Linked DNA regions of Caenorhabditis elegans. The protein of the gene in region 2 purifies or fractionates together with the protein of the main gene of each other region. This does not show direct contact. Each region holds a gene or a part of one and is shown on either strand. Other genes may lie near its edges.

The links.
Region 1: the proteins of ceh-6 (region 2) and sox-2 purify together in Caenorhabditis elegans (affinity purification with western blotting, with the first as the bait; one study listed by BioGRID). This does not show direct contact.

Annotation. Positions count from the first base shown.
Region 1 is NC_003284.9:7,457,583-7,462,319, reverse strand, and holds sox-2 (Transcription factor sox-2), read left to right. Parts: upstream 1-1,771; 5' UTR 1,772-1,809; coding exon 1,810-1,985; intron 1,986-2,063; coding exon 2,064-2,127; intron 2,128-2,568; coding exon 2,569-2,694; intron 2,695-2,765; coding exon 2,766-2,870; intron 2,871-2,922; coding exon 2,923-3,303; 3' UTR 3,304-4,038; downstream 4,039-4,737.
Region 2 is NC_003279.8:8,497,325-8,504,326, reverse strand, and holds ceh-6 (Homeobox protein ceh-6), read left to right. Parts: upstream 1-1,722; 5' UTR 1,723-2,066; coding exon 2,067-2,240; intron 2,241-4,239; coding exon 4,240-4,694; intron 4,695-4,914; coding exon 4,915-5,017; intron 5,018-5,108; coding exon 5,109-5,243; intron 5,244-5,289; coding exon 5,290-5,391; intron 5,392-5,733; coding exon 5,734-5,907; 3' UTR 5,908-6,215; downstream 6,216-7,002. UniProt on the Caenorhabditis elegans protein: Vital for embryonic development and essential for the proper function of the excretory cell. Required for the transdifferentiation of the Y rectal epithelial cell to the PDA motor neuron during larval development.

The DNA.
Region 1 (4,737 bases), on a different chromosome or scaffold from region 2:
CCCAGTATTTTTACAACCAAACCAAAACCAAAACTCTGTGCCATCTCTTTTCTTCCTCTCATGACCAGCAAAAGCAGCAAAACTAGCGAAACAAGCCTTCGTCGTTTTTTTCTCTCCCGGATACTGTAGCTATGTGTATGTGAGAGTGCTTTCCAATGTGTGCTTGCTTGCTCTCTCTTGCTGTCCCGAGGTTTTTGCTCCATCGAGAAATGCTCGCTTTTTTTGCTTCATCTACAATAAACTTCCAAAATCTATTTCCCTGATTTCCTTGACAACAAGAAATAAATTAAATTTTTTGTATTGTACTGAAATAATTTGATACGGATTTGTAAGATGCTCTCCTGCCATTATAGGATATAGGTTAGGCGGCCCCTAATGCTATTTTACAACCACCTCGTCAACTAGGTTCTGGTTTTTCGTACCTTGTGACCCGTACCTCTGAAGAGCCGTCACTGCCATCATTTCCTTTAATGTCTGTCTCAGCTTTTCGCAATCAACAAGAAGCTTGCCAATAACTAAGGGATTATCTTCTCGAAAACCACAGATGCTCGTATCGCTCGCTTCATTTTGTCGGATTAGAACGGCGTCTTGAAAGGAAAGGTATACCTTGCCACCTTGGATGTGAATATAGCTTGTTAACAAATCTTCCTCTACCACCTCCCTACTGATGTTATCATTGTATTGAAATTTCTCCTCTCATCAGTTATCTATTGTTAATCAACCAGCTATTATTGAAAATCGAGATTTTATCAGGTTGGATTTTTCATAGTTTAACATTGATTAGCTATCAAAGTTACCGTATACTTGCGGGTCTCATGTTTTTTTTTCAATTTTTTCTCCAGTTTTAGTAGATCCATAACTCTGAAAAACAACACCAGGAACAATATGATTTGATTAAACAGAGAAGTGTCGTTTCCCAAATTAGCCGCCCGAAATGTTGAATGAATAGACAAGTGTTGAATAGATTCCGAGACTCAGTCTCCAGCGCTTTGTGAATAGAAACCTCAGATTATGAGCAGTCGTTTTTAATGAGTGCTTGAAGAAAAATAGGTTAGTTGCTTTTTTCGAGAAATCAAGTTTATAAATTAAATATTCAATTTGCGATATTGACATTTTCAGATTTGACTTCAATTTTGAATTAAAGCACAAATGCACAAACTGTAGTTTTGAACAATCAGAGTTTTTTGCCGCCTCTAAGTATTTTCCGATTGATTCTAAAGCTATAACTGGCTGTATCCGCCGTAGCAGGTGTTCTTCTCTGCGATACATACAAGAACTTTAGAATCCAATAATGTGTGAAATTGAAAAGTGTATAGTAATACCACCATCTCTTACTTCCTATTGCTATTCCCGAGGTGTTGTTCTGTACACGGTCACCTGCACATAGTTTACTTTATTCGTCGACGTCTTCCGAATCATCAACGTCGCCGTTTCTGCTGCTGGTGGAGAAGCGACGGATTGAGAGAAACGTTGTCATCATCATGTGAAATAGGTCCCGCCAGGACATTGCGTCGGCATCATCATCATCATACAGAGAGTTTTGGTAACGAGGGACAGAGAGAATAAGCCACGCCCTGGAAGGCGCGCGATGATTGGCCAAGCGGTGTTAGACCCGCCCACCCACAGTTGTCTGTGCACCTCTCGTCGGCGCCCAATCTCGTGAACCTCTTCCCCATCTTCCCTTCTTCTTTCTCCTGTCTTTTCTACCTCCTTCTCTTGCGCGATTCCCGTTCAAAATTCTATTGTATTTCATATTGGTTGTCTTTTGCAGTGTCCGGTCGACGTGTCATATCATTGTTGTTTAACAAGATGATGATGGATCCGGATTCAGCAAAAATGCAGGACTACTCGGGTTGGTCGTTTGGATTTCACATGCCACCAACATCTTCAACAAATCTTCTCCCGCAGTCAATGCCAGATGATTTGTCAAATGGGCCCGATAGCCCTGATTCAACAGGAAAAGACGGAAAGAAGAATGACGACAGGTAAGATATTCAGGTGGCTCTTCTGTGGAAGTGTTAACATCGAAACATTGTTCTATTCATCTATTGTTTCCGTTTCAGAGTGAAAAGGCCAATGAATGCATTTATGGTTTGGAGCAGAGGACAGCGGAAGAAAATGGCTCTGGTAAATTTTTCTTTCATTTTCTAACCTACTGTTAATTCCTGACTTTTTAAAATTGTATCTGATATAGTTTACTTTCACACTAAATCAATCATTTCCCACACTCTTCTATTGCATTCCTAATTAGTAAGACACAGTTTGCGTCAACGATTCGATTCGTGACCTTCTTGATTCACTTATGTCTGGAGAATCTTCTAATATATGCACATCGTTTTCTCGTTTAGAGTCTCTGATCCCTTAACTCACTTGAGTTAATCCTCTACATTTAAAATTATTTTTCTCATATTGCATTGAAAATCTGGAGAAAATAAGTATTTAGGTTCTATTCACAGAAAGTTTTAGTCATATTACCTGTGTTCGCCTAAATTTCAACATTTCGAACAGCTTGAAAGCAAACTGCATTTCACGTATCTTACATATTATATTACACTTTCATTATTCTAGGAAAATCCAAAAATGCACAATTCTGAAATCAGCAAACGTCTTGGGACAGAATGGAAAATGCTCAGTGAACAAGAAAAAAGACCATTCATCGATGAAGCGAAACGACTACGCGCCATTCATATGAAGGTTAGTTGGGGAATCTGGGTCGCCTGATACTAAGCTTATTGAATAGTGCCATCACAATTTGTTCTCTTCAGGAACACCCAGACTACAAATACAGACCGAGAAGGAAGACAAAGTCAATTAATAAGAAAAATGGAGCACCAATTCCATTTGGAAATTTGGACACAAAAACGCCATCTGTAAGTTTTCCTTCGATATTGAATACTTCATATATCTATTTTCATGTTTCAGTATCCGACGTTAACAACCAACTGGAATGCGACAAATCAGTATATTGATCAGTTTCGGTTTGCTCCGTACCCCACAACAACTGTAATGGATCAAATTCCATTCTCGTTGACATACCCAGTGCATTCGGTCCCAACTGACAACTCGTCGCCTTCGCAGTTCCAGCCATCTCCGATGAGCACAAATTTTGCTGGCAGCTACCTGACACCAAAATCAGAGAGCTCGCCGGTTGGCAGTGATTCTACAGTCGGCACCGTTGACTCCAGTCAGTTTCGTGCTTACTACGACCACACAAAGGATCAGATGATGTATCCGTACAGTATTGAATTGACTCATGCTCAAAACATTCAAAATGCTCTTTCCCAATCCCATGTTACCTCTTAAACACACTTCTCGAAAGAAATTGACCTTCAATTAGTTTTTTTGGTACAAATTTCAATACTCCATTAATTTTTTTCAAAACGGTTTTTGACTTTTGAAACATCTGAGCTTTTTCAATTCCAAAATCAAAATCTGAGGCAGTTTCAGAGATGTGCATTGCTAAATGACTTTTTACCTCTTATTCCCATTTCTCTCACAAAAAATTCAATGTCCCGTGTAGGGTGATACGTGCCCAGAGGTTGTTTCACTTCCCCATTTTTTCTCCCTTTAAAATTTTGCCAACACAACACTGACTTGGTATTTGACTGTTTTTGAAATTCTAATCAATATGTTTCGTATATTTGTTTCCTATGTCAGTTTTTGTGGTTTATCGGAATTCATTTTCTCCGTCCTGATTCTTGATAATTCTCACTGTTCTTCGATTTTTGTTTGCTCTCTTACCCATTATTTGATGCCACTTGTGTCAGCCGTCATTTTCCACGTTTCCCCAGTTTTTTAATCCATGCAACCAATTTATTGCTCCTAACTCTCATCACCTTCAGTTTTATTGTATATTTCTTTCTTGAAACTCCAATAATTATTCGCGCTTAGAAACCTATTTAGATGCGTCCCAACTCATTTCTGAGGACCTCATATTTCAGTTTTGCATTCTGAAATACCATGTTCTAAAATTTAGATGTTGATACCATCATATAAGTTTACAAATTTTTAATTTATCCATAAAATGTTGACACCCAAGCTTAGATCTGTAAAACCAAACGACTAAAAAAGATTGAAGCAAGAAGCAGTCAGTTTCCGGAGGCTTCTTTTTTTTCACCCAGATTTGATAAAAAAGATGCATTGGTATTTTTACTTGCACACAACCAACCAAAAGTGTGTTCTTTACTTGATTTGGTCGTTACCGAGAAGTTTATTTTGTTCAAACAAGCAATGGTGAAGTGAATGTATCAGAGGCAGACGAGAAGAAACCGAGAAGAGTCAACGAAAACTGTGCATATGAATTTCGCGAAATTGTCAAACATCGGGTTGTTGGTTGTCTCGTTTTCTCGATTCGATTTGCGCCTCGACACATACACACATACATACTGTTTCTTCCTGTGTGGTGAAGTTGGGTTGTGATGGAATCGGAATAGGGTGGTCTCAATTCCTCAACTCAAACAAAAATAGCCGGAGCTGCCGCCGAGCAGTGTATGATCGAATTTCGGTCGTCCACAGTCCGGCTCCGTGGCTCCTGAAGCACGCACGCGCGCACACTCTCATACTCATACACCGAAGTACGAGGTTTTGATTGCTGTAGGGAGATTTTGGAAAGTCATTTGCCCGCCAATCTTGGCCAGTGGAAAACAACGGGAGACTGACGATGCCCAACCAATTTTGTCCCATATTCATATGCATGACTTTGGCAAAAGCAGCACAAGTGCCCCTCAGACCGCACAG
Region 2 (7,002 bases):
GAAAATGATTTAAAGCTAAAATTTAAAATACTCTTAAGAAGGCTCTTGAAGATGTATTTGGGTGCAATATTAATATAAAAAATACGGTATTCAACATTTACAAAAATCAAATATAAATGAAAACCAATATACTTAAATTTTTACATAAATCCAACTAGAGTACCATTGAAATATCTATTTCGGTTATTCACAACAAAAACTCGATTCTAACTGAGTAAAAGATCATCCGAAGACAAGCGGAAATTGGCACAAGCTTTCAATCCGGCTTAGAGGAAAGCGAAATTCGAGATTTATTGAGTGGGAAGATATGGGGAAAAGTGAGAAAACGAACATCTTGCAGCTGGAGTCATAGTTACAGAAATCAAGACAAAACTTTTTTTCAAACAAAAAATAAAAAATTTATCGCGTTAATTTTGATTGATTTCAACTATTACTTGCAGATTAATAAAGTTTTGGAATACTAAAAATCTTGAAAAGCATCCAGACTTAAAAATATGTATGGGACATTTGCCTTATTTTGATCTACATAGTCACACTAGTATGAATATACAATCAAATTATAAAACATGTGCAATAAAACATGATGGAACTTCAGAAAAAAAAACTGGGTTAAACTAAGTGATAGGTCAGTTTAAGAGGCACATTTTCAACCGGAACTTCTTGACAGTTCACAGCAAATTTGAAACCAAATTTTGCAACTTTAGCGATGGAAATGTCTAAAGGATATTAAACAGCGGCAAATTTTCAAGTTGAAAGAAACGAACTCGAAATCTATTTTCCTGAAATAAAAAATATAGAAGGAACCTATCAGGGAATATAACGTCGGTGAGGAAATGAGGATGAAAGTGATGGAAGAAGAGAGAAAGGGGTGCGGGAAGAAGAGTTGAAATTCATTGCTCATGCAAATCTTATGCCGTGTGTCTCTGTATGTATTTGTATGTGTGAGTGCCTTCTTTTTCCAACCATTCTCATTCTTCGCCACCCTCATTTTTGTCTGTTTCCTTTATTCAGTTTTCGATCGTCTCAAGATTTTTGAGAAATTTCATGAAATTCGCTAGGTTTTCGATTTTTTCTACCTTCCAGAAGTAATTTTTTATTTGAAATATGTGTATTGTGTAAAGTTTTCTTGTTAAAAACTTACGGTGTCAACTTCCAACTGCTTTGGGATATTTTATTGCAAACATACACTTCTTTTTTTGTCTACTTTTCTGTCAGAAGAAAAATATATTCGAGTATGAATAACCACTGAATTTACTGTATTTTTTTAGTTTACAATCGATGAAGTTTTCAGCTGTATGGAAAAAAGATGGAAAAGATTTTTCACCAGGTTGTCAATACGTAACGCTCTTTTGCCAAAATCTATTGAAATTATTACATAATAACTATTATTTTAATTGTTATCAAGCGTTGGCTTTTTAATTACCGTCTTTCCTCTAATAGCATTACACTGTATTGCTCAACTTTGGCACCTCATATCTAGATTGTCTTTGGGTTGATCAAAATGTTAGCAACTAACAAAACATTGGGTATTTATTATCTATAGTTTTGTAAAAAAAATAAGTTGTAAAATACTTCAAAAGAACCGAAAAATAGGCTTTCAAAAAGAATAGGCGGATGCAAGATTTTACGATTGTTTTGAAACTTAGAAATCTTCCAATAATGTGTTTCTATAACTTTCAACACCTCTTCAAATAACTCCAAATAAATAAATGTATTTCTAGACACTAAACCCATATCTTCACAATTCTACAGCATCAATGTCTCATGACAGTAGGCGTGACCATCTTTACAAACATATCAAAGAATGGGCGTGTCCTGATGTCAATTCTCGTCGATTGGTTATACGATTACGGTGGCTAGACGAGACGCAGAAAGACCGCTTTCCTGCCAACACATTCCAAGTGGCTCCCGTGTGAAAAAGAGACGCAGCAAAAAGGGAAACGAAGAAGAAGAAGACCGCCCCTCTTTTGACTACTACCTCTTCCTTTTCTCTCTTCATTTTCAACACACACATCCCATCTTTTCCACAGTAGTGGCCACCCCGTTGCTCCTGGACTTCCCAACTGATGCTCATACCTTCGTCGTCATCCATACCGTCTTCTTTATCTGCTTCAGCATCCGATTCTGAGCCATCATCACTGAACGGAAGTGGTATAAGTGATCAGAATATTCTACCTAATTATCATCTTCATCATCATCTAATTAACGAGAACGAGATGGAGGCAGCCAATTATGCACAGGTTAGTTCTTCTTTTTATTCGTTTCCTCCCACAACTGATTTGATTCTGATGAGGACGACATTATACAGCGAGTAGGTCCAAAAAAGGAGGCAAGCGGGGGGGGGGGGGCACAGCATTTGAATTTCAATTTTATGCCAATAAGAATCAGCCCCTCGACTGCCCCATTCAGTTCTTCTACACTTGTTGCCTCAAACTCTAACAGTGTCTTACCGCTGTTACAAAGTTGTATATTGTACATTGTTCTGATAGATTGTTATTTTCTAGGCATAAAGTAACATTCATCTAGAAAATTAGTTGAGCTGATACTCCTATATTTTAAGGTGTCTCTGATAGTACCTCAACTGCTTGTAGATCGACAAATGATGTAGTTGTTTCTTTCATTTGTGTTCTGAAAGTATTAGGTGGAACCGTAAACCCAGAATTCTGATGTTCCTGGCAGTATAAAACTTTTTATATCCTAGACATAAAGTGCCAAGCTTCTGTAATTTAGTTGAGCTAAAACTTCAATAAAGTATTGTTTAGATTAACTACTTGTAGGAATGATAACAGGTAATCTAAATCTATATTTTCACTGGCATTAGGCTTTCATTTATACAATGTTTATTTTGTTATAAAAATTGTGAACTGTAACTCCAGATTTTTGAAATTCTTACAGAGCAGTTTTTTCATTGTGAAACTAAAATAATTAATTTGAAGTTGAAATATTAAACATTTGCTATTATAACTATAAAAAGGTCTACTAAACCGTCAAATTGGAAAATTGATTTCGAAATAATGTGGGGACTAATAAAAACTGCAAAAATTGTTTGGTGAAACCTTACCTACTTTTAGGAATAATCAACAATGCATTTAACTATAATTTTATAAAACTCTTTGAAATTTTTCTCATTGATGTTTTTTAACTGCCAATGACTTGGTAAAAGAAGTATAGAAGGCTTAAGAAACATTTTGGTCCTTGGTCAGTCTAGAATTCATGAAATCGGAGCCGTAATTTTTCATTATACTGGTTTGTAATTATATCCTTTTTAAACACCTCAATCAATATTTGTATTATTTTCCTATTCACTAATGTACCTTCCAAATATCCCAGAACAATACAGTATCACTAACACGAACTGCACGTCATCACATATCATTCTCTCTGTAAAACTTGATGACTCTTTTTCAATCCGATTATCAAAATTTCCGCCCTTTCTTCTGTTTCTAGTACATCTCTCTTCATGTACACAAACTACTACAGTACCCCTTGAGTCTCTCAAAGATCGTTGCATTCGTCTGTCTCCACGTAGATACCATGTATAATAGACTCATGAGAATCTTTGTGGGAAACAGTTATCAACAATTCAATATTATTTTGTCATGTGTGGAGCGAAAACCAACAGAAAAAGGAAGAGTTGATGATGTACTAGAGGGTAGAAAATTGGCAGATGTAGTCCCTAAGAAGGCGCCGTGCTAAAGAGGATTAAGATTGATTGGCCTCTTTTTTTCTCTAAGCTGGGTGTTCATCTGTTCAAGACTAAATTGGATCGAGGCCAAAATTGTAGGGCCAGAAAATTGAACGATTTTATATAAGCAGTGAGGGATGAAATAAGAAGCTCCGGGAACATTGTCACAGTTCATCAGAATACTTTTATTTCATTAATATGGCTGAACTTTCAAAAATTACTCGAAGGAGCTGCGACCCATAATGATGTTACATACAATCGTCTCAATCGATTAGATTTCATAATGAGATATTAAAAATCCTGATTTATGTTGCAAATTTGAACTGTGTGTTCCGTTTTTTCACTGATTTTTCACTGAATATACTTTTTTCAATTGGTAGGCGCACATACCATTTTGAATCCTTTAAAACAAGGAAAGTTATATCTTTTATTTTTAGCACACTTTTTAATAGTTTCGGAACGTTTCTTATTTCAAAAATATTTAATAAGCTGTCACTCGAAGTACCACGTATTTTCAAAAACGACATTACAATTCTAGCTGCAAAATGTTTCAGGTTATCAAACCAACATGCGAGGCATTCCAAGATTGGCCGCATACTCCAATGCTGTATCAACAACCTCAACTTCATTTCATGCTTCCACAACACGATTGGGCATATCCACATCTTGCTCAATCTCTACCTCCTCCACATCATCTAACACCGTCCACTGCAGCAGTTGCTGCTGCAACAATTGCCTCACAAAGTTCAATAATCAATCAAACGTCTGTGGTTACAAGTACACCTTCGTGCCAAATCAAACAGGAAGTTGAACGACCTGAAATTATTCAGAGGTTAATGCCTCCATGGCCACCAGCTTATCAATTTTCTTGTGATGATAGTGGATCAGTGAGTGGAGCTGGTGGACCACATCAGCCATTATCTGATATTTCCGATGATAGTGAACAGACGTGTCCAGATGATTTGGAAGGATTTGCAAAACAATTTAAGCAGAGAAGAATCAAATTAGGGTGAGTGAAAATTTTAAATGTTCTCTACACATAACTGTAAAAAGTTAAACTTTTGAAAATAACAATTTCGATATCTCAAACATTTCGAGGCAACGTTCTGTCAACCAGCTGGTACAATGCCAAAGTTGGGCAGAAAGTTATCCTCAAATTCTGATCAAATTGGAATTTATCAGTTGGCAATTCCTCATATTCTTTCATTTTCATGTTCTTCAATTTCCAGATACACACAAGCAGATGTAGGTGTGGCTCTCGGAACACTCTACGGAAATATATTTTCCCAGACAACAATTTGTCGTTTTGAAGCGCTTCAACTCTCTTTCAAGGTTTGTTGACTTTCATCCACATGACTTTCAACGGAAACTGTTTCTTGTTGCCGACTTTTCTATGTTTTAATTGAATTTAATTTCGTTATAGAATATGTGCAAACTAAAGCCACTTCTATTCAAATGGCTCGAGGAAGCTGATTCAACGACTGGCTCGCCCAATTCTACATTTGAAAAAATGACAGGGCAAGCTGGAAGAAAGAGAAAGAAGAGAACAAGCATTGAGGTAGTTTGTGTTTAAAACTGAAAAATGTTATATACCGGTGTTTCAGGTCAATGTAAAATCTCGTCTTGAATTCCATTTCCAGTCGAATCAGAAGCCAAATGCACAAGAGATTACACAAGTTGCCATGGAGTTGCAGCTTGAGAAAGAGGTAAGGATATTTTTCTATTTTCCGGAATTTTTATTACTGTGAACTTCGAATTTTTTTTACAGTAACTTGACAATGATTTGAGATTTTGATTATTATGAATGAGATTTTGATTATTAATTCATTTAATTAAAGTGTTTCTCTACAAAAAAAAGTGTCCCAATAAAATATAAAGTTTAGGTTTAAGTTTAGTTTAGTACGGTTTAAATACCGTTAATTAAAATTGCAAATGTAGAGTGTGAAAAGGGTGAAGAATGAGGCAAGTGAAAGGGGCGCCTGGAGCAAGTTAAACGCCTACCTCATTAAATTTTTCTGAAACTTCACTTTCTCAAAAGTATAATTTAGGTTGTCCGTGTCTGGTTCTGCAATCGTCGTCAAAAAGAGAAGCGAATAGCTCCAAATCAATACGATGCTCCACATCCAATGGCTTTAAACAATGGATATCCAATGACTGCTGACCTTTTCCCATATCAAGCCGTCGTCAATCATTATACTCAACAGAGCCCGAGACAACAATAGTTTTTTGTGATGCGTATTGATGTAGCAGTAATATAATAATAATAATACTCAAATGAATCACCGGTAATTTATAATGACAGAAAGTTTAATAGTTTTCAAACATCCTTCTCTGAAGAAGACCAACAGTATTTCTTTTCCCCTATTATTTTTTTTGATACAATCCTCTTCACTTCTCACATCATTCTGAAAATGGGTATTCGTTTTTTACAATTATTAATTAGTTCTATTGTGTATCATTTCTAAATTAGTTTCCAAACTTTTTATTTTGTTCGAATTCATTTATTTTATAAATATCTGTACGTTAAAATGGAAGTAGCATATTTTAATTTAGATGTCTGCTGAATATAATTATATATAACTGTCTTTTTTCAGAGTAGGTAAAAATCAGAATTTAAAAAATTCAAAAAAGGAAATTTGATCTAGAGCATAAGCTTTCGAATAACTCATATAACTTTAAAGTTTTAAAAAAGTTCAAAATTTTCAATTTTGCAAATAAAACTGAAAATTACTGAATTAATGTATTTCTCAATTGGACTTGCACACTTTTGCTCTATTATGACAGCTGTATCCGTTATCATTGTCTCAGTTGTCTCTGCATTTATCAAAAATTGTCAACTGTAAAAAGACGTGCAAAATTTTTCTCTATATTTTAATTATTACAACTTTTTGATAACAGTTAAGACATCCGATAAAAGTCTATAAGTCGCCGAGCCGTTGGGGGAAAATCTACTAGAACAACTACGGTAGTTTTGAATTCCCGCACAAATGAATGACCTAGTTGTGGGAATTTCATAAAAATTAGAAATTTGAATTTTTTGCAAATAGGAATAATAATCATAAAAAATTAGAACAATTCTAAAAATTTTAAAAATTTTATTAAGCTATAACAGTTTACTTTGAATATTTAAAGGCAAAGTTCTTCTCCCGGAATGGGTCTTGACACGAAAATCCAATGTTGCAGTGAATGTAGGTCAGCTCCTCGGTTCCTCACATTCTTCATTCCATATTTCAAAAATCAATCATGAACACAGGAAGTGACATTTCACACCTGCTCCTGTCTTCCCGTGTTCATTTCCCGTTCTGATATCAACATAC